Arabidopsis thaliana: one gene and its partner. The protein of the gene in region 1 interacts with the protein of each later gene in a pairwise test. Each region holds a gene or a part of one and is shown in the gene's direction. Other genes may lie near its edges.

What was found.
Region 2: the proteins of PLC2 (region 1) and MLO2 interact in a protein complementation assay, tested with the Arabidopsis thaliana proteins (one large-scale study listed by BioGRID).

The regions. Positions count from the first base shown.
Region 1 is NC_003074.8:2,580,104-2,588,910, reverse strand, and holds PLC2 (phospholipase C 2), read left to right. Parts: upstream 1-3,012; 5' UTR 3,013-3,354; coding exon 3,355-3,654; intron 3,655-4,162; coding exon 4,163-4,359; intron 4,360-4,447; coding exon 4,448-4,583; intron 4,584-4,669; coding exon 4,670-4,906; intron 4,907-4,986; coding exon 4,987-5,210; intron 5,211-5,298; coding exon 5,299-5,416; intron 5,417-5,559; coding exon 5,560-5,712; intron 5,713-5,794; coding exon 5,795-5,881; intron 5,882-5,991; coding exon 5,992-6,285; 3' UTR 6,286-6,549; downstream 6,550-8,807. Other genes in the region: AT3G08530 (Clathrin, heavy chain), read left to right, coding at 1-480, 565-735, 838-1,023, 1,140-1,262, 1,376-1,486, 1,585-1,740; AT3G08520 (Ribosomal protein L41 family), read right to left, coding at 2,705-2,770, 2,868-2,879; AT3G08505 (zinc finger (CCCH-type/C3HC4-type RING finger) family protein), read left to right, coding at 6,868-6,878, 7,001-7,088, 7,166-7,842, 7,940-8,009, 8,097-8,185, 8,272-8,308. UniProt on the Arabidopsis thaliana protein: The production of the second messenger molecules diacylglycerol (DAG) and inositol 1,4,5-trisphosphate (IP3) is mediated by activated phosphatidylinositol-specific phospholipase C enzymes.
Region 2 is NC_003070.9:3,799,509-3,807,776, reverse strand, and holds MLO2 (Seven transmembrane MLO family protein), read left to right. Parts: upstream 1-3,543; 5' UTR 3,544-3,906; coding exon 3,907-4,029; intron 4,030-4,081; exon of another isoform or gene 4,082-4,217; coding exon 4,218-4,275; intron 4,276-4,390; coding exon 4,391-4,656; intron 4,657-4,749; coding exon 4,750-4,866; intron 4,867-4,959; coding exon 4,960-5,020; intron 5,021-5,090; coding exon 5,091-5,254; intron 5,255-5,337; coding exon 5,338-5,432; intron 5,433-5,518; coding exon 5,519-5,568; intron 5,569-5,654; coding exon 5,655-5,695; intron 5,696-5,774; coding exon 5,775-5,948; intron 5,949-6,038; coding exon 6,039-6,074; intron 6,075-6,159; coding exon 6,160-6,227; coding exon of another isoform or gene 6,228-6,231; exon of another isoform or gene 6,232-6,316; coding exon 6,317-6,377; intron 6,378-6,470; coding exon 6,471-6,878; 3' UTR 6,879-7,057; downstream 7,058-8,268. Other genes in the region: AT1G11320 (GDSL esterase/lipase), read right to left, coding at 1-314, 426-536; AT1G11303 (G-type lectin S-receptor-like Serine/Threonine-kinase), read right to left, coding at 7,058-7,366, 7,446-7,575, 7,660-7,897, 7,981-8,191, 8,263-8,268.

The DNA.
Region 1 (8,807 bases):
GACCTGGAAGAAGTCAGCGAGTACTACCAGAACAGAGGGTGCTTCAATGAATTAATCTCACTTATGGAGAGTGGACTTGGGCTTGAACGTGCTCACATGGGTATCTTCACCGAGTTGGGTGTACTCTATGCTAGATATCGTTATGAGAAACTTATGGAACACATCAAGTTATTTTCAACTCGCCTCAATATTCCCAAGCTTATACGGGCCTGTGATGAACAACAGCACTGGCAGGAACTTACCTATCTGTACATTCAATATGATGAGTTTGATAATGCTGCGACCACCGTCATGAACCATTCTCCTGAAGCATGGGAGCACATGCAATTCAAAGACATTGTTGCCAAGGTAGCGAATGTTGAACTGTACTACAAGGCTGTGCACTTCTACTTGCAAGAGCATCCGGATATAATCAACGATCTTCTCAACGTACTTGCGTTGCGGTTAGACCATACTCGTGTTGTTGATATAATGCGGAAGGTTAGAAGCTGACTGATGACTTTGTTTTTTTCTATAAAAACAACTGAGCTACATTACTTAACAATTGGTTTCTTCTGATCTCAGGCTGGTCACTTGCGTCTTATCAAGCCATACATGATTGCAGTTCAGAGCAACAATGTCTCTGCTGTTAATGAGGCTCTGAATGAGATATACGTGGAAGAAGAAGACTACGATAGGTTGCGAGAGTCTATTGATTTACATGACAGCTTTGACCAGATTGGCCTCGCTCAGAAGGTAAAGTTCAAATATACTACCCCTTTAATATTTTCTCTCTTTAAAAATGGAAAAAGAATGGCCTTAGAGATGATATAATCTTCCTGTGAATGGTGCGAACAGATCGAGAAACACGAACTTGTTGAAATGAGACGTGTGGCTGCTTATATCTACAAGAAAGCGGGCAGATGGAAGCAATCAATTGCATTATCAAAGAAAGACAACATGTACAAGGACTGTATGGAAACGGCTTCACAATCAGGCGAACATGAACTTGCAGAACAACTACTGGTGTATTTCATTGAACAGGTATGATGATGGTTAAACATTTACGAGATGCTAGTGCTAGCCATTCAGTTTGGTTAGTTGAAAAGAATTGGTCCAGACGTTGAACGTAGTATCCCGTGTCTTCTGCTGTTATACAGGGCAAAAAGGAATGCTTTGCTACATGTCTCTTTGTATGTTATGACTTAATCCGACCAGACGTGGCTCTAGAACTTGCCTGGATCAACAATATGATGGACTTTGCCTTCCCGTATCTCCTCCAGGTGATCTATCCTAACCCTCAAATAAACTCTTTTGATTCTCTGCTCAATGAGGTTGGAACCATTATTTGAACGCTATGATGAATTCTCTTCTTCCTGTCGTTTTTTCTTTGCAGTTTATCCGAGAGTACTCTGGCAAAGTGGATGAGCTAATAAAGGACAAGCTTGAGGCACAAAAAGAGGTGAAGGCCAAAGAGCAGGAAGAGAAGGATGTCATATCCCAACAGGTACTACTTATGACACAGCTACACTGGATATCATCCGACTCTTTATCTTGACAGATACACTTAAAGGAGTAATATGTTTTTCTTTTGTTTTTAAACAGAACATGTATGCCCAAATGTTGCCACTTGCTTTACCTGCACCACCGATGCCAGGAATGGGAGGTGGTGGTGGGTATGGTCCTCCACCACAAATGGGCGGTATGCCAGGAATGCCTCCCATGCCACCATATGGAATGCCACCGATGGGCGGCTACTAAAGCAGACCAGCTTATGCTTTAATATCCGCATTTGGAAAAGTATCAGTAGCGCATAGAGTCGGCCCAATTTGCTAGGGCGGTGTTCATCTGCTAGCTAGCTTATATGTCTGACCAGAATTTGTCTGGGAATAATGTGGATAATAACCTCCTTTCGTTGTAATATTCTGTTGGGTTTAGGTGAGTAATTTTTTTTTAACTTTTTGTCAAAAGCCATTTTTGAGTATATATACTCAACTCTCTTACTCATATGAGTTTTGTAGTTGTACTTTCCTTCAGCATTTCATTCCATTCGACTTTCGATTTATTAAACCGTTGATCAGTTTCACCTTGTTGTTATTCATATATGAAACAATTAATATCGAGAAGGACTAAATAAATCCTTCATGAGAATTTGGTTGACCTCAGAACAATCATCATCATTCATCAGCATCAGAAAGACATAGATGCAACGTGAATCTCATTTTCATGAAATAATAATGAAATCTTAGGGTAGGTTTATTTCACATGTACACATAAAAACCTAAGTACCAATAGTCATCTGAACATCATGAACTAAAAATTGCATCCCTCCGTAAACACACATTTCTGCTACATTACTAAGAAAACGTTCTGGATAGAAAGATTCAATCAACCCAACATACTTTGTTTTTATTAGTATACTTAGATGACATACAAATTCACTTGGTATTTCTAATATCAAAAGTTCAACCTTCACCAGGATAAAACTCATCCAGCGCAGACACTAACTATAGATAATCAATTAAACCAAAATGATAAGCAGATTGAAGAACTTTAAGGAGAATCAGTAACTCATAAGGATCATTCCATGTAATAAACATAATTCTAATAGAAAACATAGATTCGATTTGGTCCAACAAAACATTCAAATTGAAAATTGCAAAACCAACAAAACTCACATAAGAGTTGGTTCTAAAAAGAAGAAAGACAAAACAAACTCCCGAATCTACTTAGATCGCTGTCTCATCTTTCGTCTCTTCCTCTTCAATCTCCTCATACGCTTCTTCTTCCACTGCAACACACAAACACACAAACCATAAAGATCCTACACACTACTTCAATTTCTCATCACTAAAAAATCCATTAAACAATCAAAACCCATTACTAACCTTGGCTCTCATGCTGATTTCGCAGAAGCTGTCTCCTTCGTTCCTCTGATTATTTGTTTAGCTTTACAGGATGAGGAGCGGCGGAGATGAATAGAAAGATTTTGTAGCTTACGCTCTTATTCCTCCTTTAAACAACAACAAAACCCTAGTAACTAACTTAATGGGCTTTATTATTTCAAAAGCCCAATAAAACCCAAATGGATAAGAATTTGCCAGAGGGGATATTCGCACAGAGAGAGAAAGAAGATCTTTTTCCGACAAGGTTCAAGATCGATTAAACATTACATGGAGGAGATTCACTAGAAAGAAAGGAAAAAAATCTCTTTGTCTTTGCAGATGCGACACGCAAAACGACGATTCTGATCTCGCTTGTCTGATTTCAAAAACAATGAGAAGATAGTTCTGATTATATAACACACAAACCCTACTTCATTCCTTCATCATCGTCTCCAATCATTACCCAAAGATCCGTCTTTTTCTTTACTTCATGTCGAAGCAAACGTACAAAGTGTGTTTCTGCTTTCGCCGGAGGTTTCGTTACACTGCATCGGAGGCACCGCGTGAGATCAAGACCATTTTCGAAAAGTACTCAGAGAATGGAGTTATGACCGTTGATCATCTCCACAGGTTTCTGATCGATGTTCAGAAACAAGATAAAGCCACCAGAGAAGATGCACAGTCAATTATCAATTCTGCATCTTCTCTTCTTCATCGTAATGGTCTCCATCTTGATGCTTTCTTCAAGTACCTCTTTGGTGATAATAACCCTCCTCTTGCTCTCCATAAGGTAATTTTCGTGTTATTTCGATTTTATGAGTTCAGAATCTGAAGTAAACTATGATTGATTGATATAAGAAACTCAGATTTTGGATTGGGATTTTTCGTTTTCCTTGTTTGGTAATTGAGGAAATGGTGTGAGGAAGTGAGATTTTTGGAATAATTTGTTTGAATGTTTCACTGAGTCTAATCAAGAGTTCGAACTTCGAAGCTGCTGTTTGGTAGAAAGTCGTAGGAGCTATGTACTTTTTAGGTGTTGTGGAATAAGTCTGATTCAAGAATTTGAAGCAATAGAATTGTTTTTCTTTTTATGTCTCAAAAAAAAAAAAAAAGTTGAGAAAGTAACATATCTAGGAATGTGACATTTACTCTATTAGGAACTCTGACACAAAAATCCATGATACAAGTAATTAATATTTTTACAATTCCGGCTATACATGTAATTGTGACTCAATTGTGCTAGCTTTTATTTTCAGATTGATTATAGACTTATCTCTAATGAATTTGTGGTGTTTCAGGTGCATCATGACATGGATGCTCCTATATCGCATTATTTCATATTCACTGGTCATAATTCTTATCTGACTGGTAATCAGCTGAGCAGTGACTGTAGTGAGGTACCTATTATTGATGCGTTGAAGAAAGGTGTTAGAGTCATTGAATTGGATATATGGCCCAATTCCAACAAAGACGATATTGATGTTCTTCACGGAATGTATAATTTTGCTTCAAATTTATTTCGAAAAACAAGTCAAGGTTAGGTGCTTGGCGTTTAACTTGTTTACTGAACCATTCTTAAACAGGACTCTCACTACACCTGTGGGGTTGATCAAATGTCTCAAAGCTATCAGAGCACATGCCTTTGATGTATCTGACTATCCTGTTGTTGTAACTCTTGAAGATCATCTTACTCCAGATCTTCAGTCTAAAGTTGCTGAGGTAGCTTTTTATTTTGCATTTCTTTCTTTGCTGCTTTAATAGATGAGTACATTGGTTTTGAGATGTGTTTTCTTGTTGTATGATAGATGGTTACTGAGATATTTGGGGAAATTCTGTTTACTCCTCCTGTGGGAGAATCTTTGAAGGAGTTCCCATCGCCAAACTCTTTAAAAAGACGTATTATCATCTCAACCAAACCCCCAAAAGAGTACAAGGAAGGAAAAGATGTGGAAGTGGTGCAGAAAGGTAAAGACTTGGGGGATGAAGAAGTTTGGGGAAGAGAAGTTCCGAGCTTTATTCAGAGGAACAAAAGTGAAGCTAAGGTGTGTACGAAGACAAATCATTTTCATTCTGTTCTGTTGCTGTTCATGGACAAACATGTTAGTTTTCTTTCTTGTTGCAGGATGACTTAGATGGAAATGATGATGATGACGATGATGATGATGAAGACAAGTCTAAGATTAATGCACCACCCCAGTATAAACATTTGATTGCAATCCATGCTGGGAAACCAAAAGGCGGAATTACTGAGTGTTTAAAGGTAGATCCTGACAAGGTTAGACGCCTTAGCTTAAGCGAAGAACAACTTGAAAAGGCAGCAGAAAAATATGCGAAGCAGATTGTGAGGTATAGTCATATTATGTTTTTATGTTTCTAAGTAATAGTTGCAGTTTGTCAACTCAATATGAATCCTGTTAATCATGGTGTGGCGCAGGTTTACTCAGCACAATTTGCTGAGGATATACCCAAAAGGAACTAGAGTCACATCATCAAATTACAACCCGTTGGTTGGCTGGAGCCACGGTGCTCAAATGGTGGCTTTCAATATGCAGGTATCTCCTTCTGCTATATTACCAACTTCTTTCTACGTAGTAGTAAAACTTCTAGTTATTTTGGAGGAGCTATGTTCCATCATTTTACAGGACATCAACCTTATTCCTCAGCTGATTTGATTGTGATCTTTTTCCATGTACAGGGGTATGGAAGATCATTGTGGCTAATGCAGGGAATGTTTAGAGCCAATGGCGGATGTGGCTACATCAAGAAACCTGACCTTCTGCTGAAAAGTGGTTCGGATAGTGACATATTTGACCCAAAAGCTACTCTACCTGTGAAAACAACACTTAGGGTGAGATATCTGATTCTCTGGTTGGTCTTTCTTTTACCAATTCAAATCCGATCAAACTCAGTGAACTTATTCTTTCCCTTAGGTAACTGTATACATGGGAGAAGGCTGGTACTTTGATTTCCGCCACACACACTTTGACCAATATTCACCGCCTGACTTCTATACAAGGGTCAATTTTTGATTCCCTGCCTTAAACCTCACACAAATGTTTTGAGATAGAACTGTTTCTTGTCTCTTATGCTTGCAATATAACAATTTGAGCTTTTGATGCATATTCAGGTTGGGATAGCTGGAGTTCCAGGGGATACAGTAATGAAGAAGACGAAAACACTGGAGGATAATTGGATACCAGCTTGGGATGAGGTGTTTGAGTTCCCATTAACCGTTCCAGAGCTGGCCCTGCTACGATTAGAAGTGCATGAGTATGACATGTCAGAGAAAGATGATTTTGGAGGACAGACATGCTTACCGGTTTGGGAGCTAAGCGAAGGAATAAGAGCATTTCCTTTACATAGCCGGAAAGGAGAGAAGTACAAATCCGTTAAGCTTCTCGTGAAGGTGGAGTTTGTGTGAGACATGATTAAGAAAGATACAGCATTTAAACTTGTCTGGTAGGTTTGAGTGCCACAGAGTTTGTGAATTTGGAGGATTTGTATGTGTGAGAGAGAATGTATGCTTGATTTGTTGTTTGTAATATTATGTACATAAAAGACGAAAGTGAGAGAGAGAGAGACGGTCTTGTATCGTGTGTTGTTGTATTATTATGTAGTAGTCTCGTGTAACACTTGAATCGTATGATGATTTGTGGTTTTTGTGTAACAAGTGTGTTTTAAAACTTGTTTGATTCCATTCCACCAAGAAGGCTTCAAAGAATTTTCTTATGTATCACATAAAACTGATCGAATTTCCATAAACATAACCAATCACACCCCATAAAACAAAATTGGCCAAAAAGAAAAGAGAAAGGATATTTTAGTAAATGAAAGAGAGAGGTGGTGGTGGAGGTGGAGGAAGCGCGCTCTATCTCAAAAACGTTGGGGTCTGCTTGGTCCTCAACAATTGAAAACCGTACAAATTCAATTTCTTCACATAAAGCTCTCTCTTCCTTCTCCATTCTTCCACCCTTTTTTTTCTTCTCTCCGCACAAATCCCCAAATGTCCGATAGGTATCGTAATCCCCCAACTTCTCGATTCATCAAACTCTTCAATTTTGTGTCTCTTTGATTGGTGATAAAGATTGATTCTTTCGTTTCTGGGGACGATGATTCATTTGATTTCTTTTTTGTAGGATACTGTGCAAGTTCTTTGTCCATGGCTCGTGCTTGAAAGGCGAAAATTGCGAATTTTCCCATGACTCTAAGGATCCGCCCAATAATGTAATCTAATCTCTTCTCAAGTTTCCTTCTTTTGATTCATCAGTCCCAAATATTTGACTCTTGGTTGTATAAATTAGGTTTGCACATTCTATCAGAAACGAATATGTTTGTACGGAAGTAGATGTAGATACGATCATGTCAGAGCTGCTTCCAATCTTCCTCTTAGCTCAGATTCTGAGTCTTTAGATCGCTCTATATCCACCACCCCCTCTAGGCATTTGCAACAACAAGGCGATAATAATGACGGTGACAAATCCTCTAACGTTTACTGTATCCACCCTAGAGAGTACCCGATCTGCTCTTTTGCTGCAGCTGGTGATTGCCCTCGAGGTAACCAGTGTCCACATATGCATGGTGACCTCTGCAATACTTGTGGCAAGAAGTGTTTGCATCCTTTTAGACCCGAGGAACGAGAAGAGCATACGAAAGAATGTGAGAAGAAGCAGAAGCACATTGAGGCTTTGAAACAAAGTCAAGATATTGAGTGTAGTGTGTGTTTGGATCGTATCTTGTCAAAGGCTACTCCAGGGGAAAGGAAGTTTGGGCTGTTGACTGAGTGTGATCATCCGTTTTGTATACAATGTATTCGTAATTGGCGTAGCAGTGCTCCTGTTTCGGGAATGGATGTCAACAGTACGTTGAGAGCTTGTCCTATATGTCGCAAACTCTCTTATTTTGTTGTCCCTAGTGTGGTCTGGTACTCTTCTCCTGAGGAGAAGAAGGAAATTATCGACATATACAAGGCTAAACTCAGGTATAGTTACTAACTGCAATAAAAACTTGATTTTGAGCTGGCTTCAAATTTGATTTTGCTTAGTAGATACAATTTGTGTTCCATTCCAATCTTGCAGATCAATCGACTGTAAGCACTTCAACTTTGGAAATGGAAACTGCCCATTTGGAGCAAGTTGTTTCTATAAGGTATGTATTTTCCTCTATTCTTTATTGTCAGGCAAAGCAGCAGACGAATGATTTTTAGTCTTACTCATTTTTGGTGTTGCTATATAGCATGCATATTCTGATGGTCACTTGGAAGAGGTTGTTTTACGGCATCTTGGTTCTCAAGAAGGAGAAACTGTAATAACAGACAGTATCAGGTCTTTACCCAATATGATCAACTTCAGTCATCATTCATTGTCATTAGCCTTATCCTCTGATAATAATAATGTGTTACTGATTTCAGGCTATCAGAGTTCCTTGGTGGCCTGCAGATTTTCTAAAATATTTTTTCCCAGATAAATCGAATGTAAGTTCCAAAATCTATTTGTAATTATTAGAGATAAGTGTTTTTTCATGTTTTAAAAACTTGAAATCCATGAAAAGTCAGCTTATTGGTTTCTCTTTTGTGACTTTCTCTCCTAATACAGAACACAAGGTGGTGATGACAACTTAATATTCTTATCAAACTCATTTTGATTCTGAGTTTTGACAATCCTCTTAAATAAGGTGAAGTAATGTTTATTTATCTTTATCTTTCAGATTATCGTACTAGAATTTTCCTTGTTGGCTGATTCAAGCTATCTTCTTATTATAGAAATGTAGACATGCTCAGAGAGGATAATAGTTAAAAAGAGATAAGGACACAGGAGAAACTCAATGTAATAATATTTAGATAGGGAATGTTACTCTACTACACAATAATGTAAAAAAAAATGTGTGTGAATATACCAACAAATAATGTAAATAATGCTTTCATAGCACTCCGTCTGTAAGATATTT
Region 2 (8,268 bases), on another chromosome or scaffold:
TTGTATCCAGCAACAAGCTCAGCCACAAGCCTATCTGTCTCCCTAAGACTCGTTTCAAACACAAACCTTGAAAGCAATCCCGGTCTCACTCCTTCTTTGTTGAGTCCATTGAAACTTTCCTCGTCAGTGTTTCCCATCAGCAATATAGCTCCAAGCACATCAACTTCACCTCTCACATGAGTGCTAGTCTCTTGAAAGGGACCTCCTTTCGATAATTTCTGCGAGGAAATGATCCGCTCTACTTTCTCTTGTCTTTCTCTAAGTTTCATCAAATCCGAGAATGTTTCTCTTTGTAATCGCTTCAAGATATCAATCTGCAACATAATTCCCAAAACCAACAATGCAGAAACTCAAATTCAACATCACATTTCAAACAAAAAGTTGATTTTAAGAACAAAATGAGTAAAGGGGATGGATAACGATACCGGATTCAGGCGAGAAGGATTCTCATGGAAGCCGAAATGGCGGGAGACTAAATCCTGGCTCGATTTCGTAAAGCTCTTCACTTTCTCCAACACCGAAGCAATTGGGTCCATCTTTTAATCAGAAACTGGTAAGGAAAGCTTGAAGATTCTAGAAAATTTCGAACCCAGTGATGATCATTTCTATCGATGATAAGAGGATTTGAATAGAGAAGATGCGAAAATGTTTTAGGGTTTATGTGTTTGGATTTTGGTTTCAAAATCTGGAATTGGACGATCCGGTTTCTTACGTCGGTTCGTTTCGGTTATTTTCGAATTTCTGATTATTTCGGTTAAAGAGTTTGGTCAACCTAAAACCAGAACAATTGATTATTTCTGATTATTTCTTCTTTTCTTTTGGTATCATTGTATCAAAGGCGAAGGATACCAAAGGTAAGGATATAGTTGACGAATGTACGACGAAGTAACAAAGGGGTTCTAATGTCCGGTTTCGATCTTAAGTTGTGGTAACGATTGAATCGCATTGCAGAATCTTGAACTGGACGATGCATATGGTTAGTTGCTTCAGTGAAGGTTGACTTCAATGATATTTTGGAAAGTCGTCGTGAGAAAGTTGATTATATTGATCGGGTCTTCTTAAAAAAAGAAAGAATAAACCTCATAAGGTCCTTTAGGTAGTTAGCTGAAATGTGATTTTCTTTATTTAATATAGCGAAAATGATAGTTTTAGGTCATAACTTTGAAAATATAATATAGAAATCTTGACTAAAAAATATTATAAGTACGTGTAAAACTCGTAAAAGACTCACACAATTAGAGTAAACTATTAGGACAAGTTAAGAAACAAAGTCTAAAACAATCTGAAACGTAACATGCTACAAAACGATAGAAAATATGATGTCTTTCTTGTGACAATAGAAAAGATGACGTCAAATTTTCCTTTCGTTTTTTTATTGTTAGCCCGTTCCGTTATAAAGAGTGGAGGATATATTTGTCTCTAGCCCATTGGACAAAACGTTCATTGAGAAAAATACCATATAAGATACATTTTTTATGGATTATATGGAAATTAAGATGCATGAAAAGGAAATTAAGATGCCTCACATTATTTCCACCATCTAGTCATTTATGTCGTCTTAGATTCTTTTATAAATCATATTCATATGTGACTAACACGTCTTCACATTCTCATTTGATCATGTTGCTTAAAACAAATATCTCATCAACCACATAAGCAATAAATGTTTTTAGTTTTTGTTTGATTCAGTTCATTAATATATAATTACATGTCCATCTTAAGCGTTCCGTTAATTATCACATTTTTAAACTCTATGTGATTAGTTGCAGTTTGCAACTTGGTTTGTCAATTAACAATAATGTATAATTTACATATCTGTTTTTTTTGCGATTTTTTTTTTTTTTACATATATGTATGCCTCAGCATGCATTGTTATTTGTTGACTCTTTGAACTTAAGTTGTGTCCAATTGTGTCAGTCATAAATATGAACACGTGTTAAATATTATAGAGAAAGATTTGAGTTTTTACAATCTTATAATCCACTCTCCATAGTTTATATATGTACATGCACGATCAGTTTTAACTAATAATCATAAACATATATGTACATGTACAATCAATCTCATATGCAATCAAAGTAAATATAAATTAAAAAAAATGTATATATGGATCTCGTTTAGTTTAAATTCTAAACGTATATTGTCGAAGGAGAAAAACTATAATTTTGTTTGTGTATATTGATTGATTCTTCAGTAATTTCTTCAACTATTCTGATATATATATATATATATATATATATATATATCTACTTGCAATCATAGTTTAAAGATGTTATTTCTGTTAGATGTTTAATCTTGTTTTTTTCTGTCAGTAGTCTTTAATCACGTGCCAAGTAAGCAAAACACTCTCATTATTTTAAAGAATGTTGATTAAATAAACATTCGATGGGCGATGGCTATTGGAAACTGGAAAGTCAGCTAAATACAACAATTTTCCACTTAACATTCTAATTATCTAACTATTAATTATTAATCATTGCTGCATGCCTCTGTTCAACTGTACAGGCTGTTTTCGAATATTTTGTAGAGTACAACTTATCAAAAAATCCCAAACTCTTTTATCTGACAATAATATTTTAAGATATAAGAAATAGTCATAGTATCATATTTTTCAAACTATACAATTTTTATAATTTCATTAAAAGGCAAAATAAAAACCAGGTTACGTAATTAATTTAATAGTCAAATGTTTGCTACAATAATATATTTACAATTCTAGTTACATCTAAGTGTAATAAAATTACAATTCCATTATAGATAGTATAATGGATGATAAAACTTTTGTACAGTTGATAGTAAGAAAATTTAATAAAATATAGGATATTAACAAGAAAAAAAAAACAAAAAAAAAAAAACACGTTAATGGGTAAACTTCGAAACTGAAATTTTTGTAGAAAAAAACAATCACATCATCAATGTATCTTTCAAAATAATGTTTTGACAACTTATCAGTCACTTTTAATTGGGTGTGTTAGAAATAGAGGTACAGTTTAAAGTTTTTATTAGGTTTTGGGTGGTAAGGTGTGTTAGAAATCAGTTTATTTTTTAATCAGTCATTGGTGGTGGTGGAAAATATCATTTTCAAATTTCAAGTAGCAATTATGGGTGAAATTTCTTGTATAAATTTCAAGTAGCAATTAATATATCTTTTTTTATATATAGAAAATTTACATTTTGGTAAAAATTTAAATTAAAAAAAGGAGCATGGTTATATCTTGAATCTTGGTATCTACGAGCATATTATTTAGATATAACAAACAAGTTGGGAATAGACAAAACAAAATGACGAACTTTCCAACGAAAGATCCCATTATAGTAATGTTATTCTTATTTATACTTATACAATCTCTAGTGGCTTCCAAAGTACACAAAATGGGAGTATTATACCAACAAAAATAAACGACTAATGAATCAAAAAATTCAAAATTTGCTTTATTTTATTCTGAAAATCTAACGAGCTGAAACCAAAATGTTATAGATTTAAAATAGAAACAAAACACCGATGATTGACCCAATAAAAAGCAAAATAAAGTAGACCAAAAAGAATAATGGTTATGCTGATAATTGAGGAGTCGTCGTCACTCGTCACATGAGAGGAACAACAAGAAAAGTCAAAACGTTGAAGCTTTCTCGAATAACGCCTTCTTTAGTTTACAGTCTCTCGTTGCGGGTCTTATCTTCTTCTTCTTCTTCCCTCTTTCGTCTGCTCTATATTATGACCAGATTCAAAATTGCGTAGCGTACTAATTCAATATAGAGAGAAGTTAGATCAAAAGAAGAACACGAAACTCTGACTGTGTCTCTCTTTCTCTTCGTGTGTTTCTATATTTATATATAAAAAGACAAGATCTCTGGTCTGGAATTAGAAGAATCTTATTTGGGGTTTTTTCTTAGGATTAAGCTCTAATGGCAGATCAAGTAAAAGAGCGGACTTTAGAGGAGACCTCTACGTGGGCAGTTGCTGTTGTTTGCTTTGTCTTACTCTTTATTTCGATTGTCCTCGAACATTCTATTCACAAAATTGGAACCGTAAGTCTCTTTATATTTCTCCTTATTTCAAGATTCCCCTGTTTCTTGCTCTGCTTTCTGCTCTGTTTCTTTAATTACTGCTCTGTTTTTTTGGATTTGTTTAGTTCTTCTCCTATCACTATCAACACTACTAAATCTGTGAGAATAACGAAAATATCTGATCATTCCTTTTTTTGTGCCTTAAACAGTGGTTTAAAAAGAAGCACAAGCAGGCTCTTTTTGAAGCTCTTGAAAAGGTCAAAGCAGGTAACTATCTTTTTCTACTTAACTTGATCCATTATCAACAAGCTTCTTATCTTTTTCTACTTAACTTCATCCATTAACAAGCTCCTGATTTTGTTTTCTACGTAACTTCATTCAGAGCTTATGCTGTTGGGATTCATATCACTACTACTCACAATTGGACAAACACCAATCTCAAATATCTGCATCTCCCAGAAAGTTGCGTCAACAATGCACCCTTGCAGTGCTGCTGAAGAAGCTAAAAAATACGGCAAGAAAGACGCCGGAAAGAAAGATGATGGAGATGGAGATAAACCCGGTCGAAGACTTCTTCTTGAGTTAGCTGAATCTTATATCCATAGAAGAAGTTTAGCCACCAAAGGCTATGACAAATGTGCAGAGAAGGTAACTAATAATCTCCCTTCTCTCTCTATATAAAAATCATTCTCTGCTTGTTAAACCGATGGAATTTTGATTTCTATTGATGGATTTACTCAGGGGAAAGTGGCTTTTGTATCTGCTTATGGAATCCACCAGCTGCATATATTCATCTTCGTGCTCGCGGTTGTTCATGTTGTTTACTGCATTGTTACTTATGCTTTCGGAAAGATCAAGGTAACTAACATTTCTTGTGACTTACGCAGTTGTTAAGGCGAGAAAAAGAGTGTATGCAAAAGATTTTTATACTTGTTTTCTTGAGTATTGCAGATGAGGACGTGGAAGTCGTGGGAGGAAGAGACAAAGACAATAGAGTATCAGTATTCCAACGGTATGTAAATATGTGAGTATTCGACGAAACTTAAAGACCTGAATGGGAATGAATTAGTCTTGTTATGCAGATCCTGAGAGGTTCAGGTTTGCGAGGGACACATCTTTTGGGAGAAGACATCTCAATTTCTGGAGCAAGACGAGAGTCACACTATGGATTGTTTGTTTTTTTAGACAGTTCTTTGGATCTGTCACCAAAGTTGATTACTTAGCACTAAGACATGGTTTCATCATGGTATGGAATTTATTCTTTTTATCTATTGTTCATTATAACATGTATCTCTCAAAGACAATGATCTAACATTCTACATATTTCAGGCGCATTTTGCTCCCGGTAACGAATCAAGATTCGATTTCCGCAAGTATATTCAGAGATCATTAGAGAAAGACTTCAAAACCGTTGTTGAAATCAGGTTTGGATCTAATAATGATTGCTTTATAAAGTCTGAGCAAAGCCAATTTGGATATTTTATCTTAAATCTCTGCCAACTTTATGCAGTCCGGTTATCTGGTTTGTCGCTGTGCTATTCCTCTTGACCAATTCATATGGTAACGTTCATTGCTTACTCGCAAAAACTACATTTTAGCTGCATCAATAGTCGCACAAAAGTGACATCGGTTTTCTTTTGAAACAGGATTACGTTCTTACCTCTGGTTACCATTCATTCCACTAGTCGTAAGTACAAACAAACTCTTGAACCGATTTTGTCTTTTTGCCGCCAGTTTTGTAACAGAGTGAAAATATATAACTGCAGGTAATTCTAATAGTTGGAACAAAGCTTGAAGTCATAATAACAAAATTGGGTCTAAGAATCCAAGAGAAAGGTGATGTGGTGAGAGGCGCCCCAGTGGTTCAGCCTGGTGATGACCTCTTCTGGTTTGGCAAGCCACGCTTCATTCTTTTCCTTATTCACTTGGTCCTTTTTACGGTACAATACTTGTATCCTTCACCGCTCGTTTTTTCGATCTTTTTCGGGTTTTTTCTCCTAACGGTAGAATAAATTTTCTTATCTTTGCAGAATGCATTTCAACTTGCATTCTTTGCCTGGAGTACGGTAAGCGAGCCATTTCATTTTCTTTGAAAACATCGCTGTTACGGGCTATACTAATTGTTATGTCATAAATTTTCTGTATTTGCAGTATGAATTCAATCTCAATAATTGTTTCCATGAAAGCACTGCAGATGTGGTCATTAGACTTGTAGTTGGGTAAGCTAACATTATCTTGACTATTGATTCTTCTGAGAATTTGTCCTTTAACTGAAAAAGTATAATCCCCCTTTTTATAAATCTTGCAGAGCTGTTGTGCAGATACTTTGCAGCTATGTGACTCTTCCACTCTATGCACTTGTTACTCAGGTACTAGAAAACATTAGTGTTACATGGATGCCAGATTTTGGTTATATGATCTTTAGTTTTTTTTACATTGTGTTGAATGAAAATTGTGTGCAGATGGGTAGTAAAATGAAGCCAACAGTATTCAACGATAGAGTAGCCACGGCATTAAAGAAGTGGCATCACACTGCAAAGAACGAGACGAAACACGGAAGACACTCGGGATCCAACACACCTTTCTCTAGCCGTCCAACCACACCAACACATGGCTCATCTCCAATCCATCTCCTTCACAATTTCAATAACCGGAGCGTTGAAAATTACCCAAGTTCTCCTTCTCCTAGATACTCTGGTCATGGTCATCATGAACACCAATTTTGGGATCCTGAGTCTCAACACCAAGAAGCTGAAACTTCCACACATCATTCTCTTGCGCATGAAAGCTCAGAACCTGTTCTTGCATCTGTGGAACTTCCTCCTATAAGGACTAGCAAAAGCTTAAGAGATTTTTCTTTTAAGAAATGATGATTCTTGTTTGCTATATTTGATTTCGTACAGTGGGAAATTTGTCATATGAAAATAATTTCTTGTACATTACTAGTTGGATAAGAAATAACCATATCTATATGGATACATGATATGTTATTCTCTGGCAATGCTTAAGAGTTTCACGAATTACACATACATTTGTATTTCTGCAGGTTTTAACGTCCTGAGACATCAGTGATGGTGACATTGTTGATAGAGGCTTTAAGAGCAATGCTCTCAGAGAACTCAGCTTCTAAACCAACGTTTCTAGGCATAAAAGCAGGCTGTTTCGGTTCTGGAATGTCTGCAACCTCACTGCTAAGCATCATACACACTGTAGAAACACTTGGCCTATCATTAGCAGCGTCTTGCACACACAAAAGCGCAATGTGAACGCATTTTCGTATTTCTTTCTCAAAAAGTTGGTCAAAAATCTCAGGATCTACCATACCATTAATCTCCCCTTCGTTCCAGATTGACCACACCTATGAAACATAGAAGCTTTGATGGCTTGATGACAATCTCAAGAGAGTTAAGAAACTTTACGAGTTAAAGTAGACTCACATGAGCCAAAAGAGTTGAATGTGAGTTTCTTCTTCCACTGATAATCTCTAAGAGTATCACTCCTAAGCTGAAAACATCAGATTTCTCTGAAAACAGTCCTCCCATTGCATATTCAGGTGCCATATAGCCACTGCACGATACATTTATTTTCTCGGTTTTAGGACTCTTAATGGAAAAAAAAGATGTAAACATATGGTTGAATGGAGTTACATACTATGTTCCAACGACCCTTCTGGTGTTTGCTTCATCTTCATTCCCCGGGAATATCCTGGCCAACCCAAAATCAGATATTTTCGGAATCAGATTCTCATCTAGCAAGATGTTGCTTGCTTTCAGATCTCTGTGAATGATTCTCAGCCTAGAATCTCTGTGAAGGTACAGGAGACCTCTACATATTCCATTGATTATTTCAAACCGCGTGTTCCAGTCAAGAAGTTTTGCTTCCCTTGGATCTGAACAACAAATTAGCTTCTGTTAATTGACCTGATGATAACACTGCACCAGAGTTTGAAAACAAAAAAGAGTGATAAGTTACCAAATATATAAAAGTCTAAGCTTTTCTTGGGCATGAACTCATAGACTAACATCCTTTCTTCCCCTGCAATGCAGCAACCAAATAATTTCACCAGATTTCGATGTTGCAACTTAGAAATCACAACCACTTCAGTGACAAGTTCCTCAAGCCCTTGTCCTGATGCTTGTGACAGTCTCTTCACAGCAATCTCTTGACCTTCTAGCAACATCCCCTGCAACAAAAATATGTCAAACATAAATTCTTGTTGGCTTGTTGCCATAACCCTTTACCAGTCATACTTACCTTGTA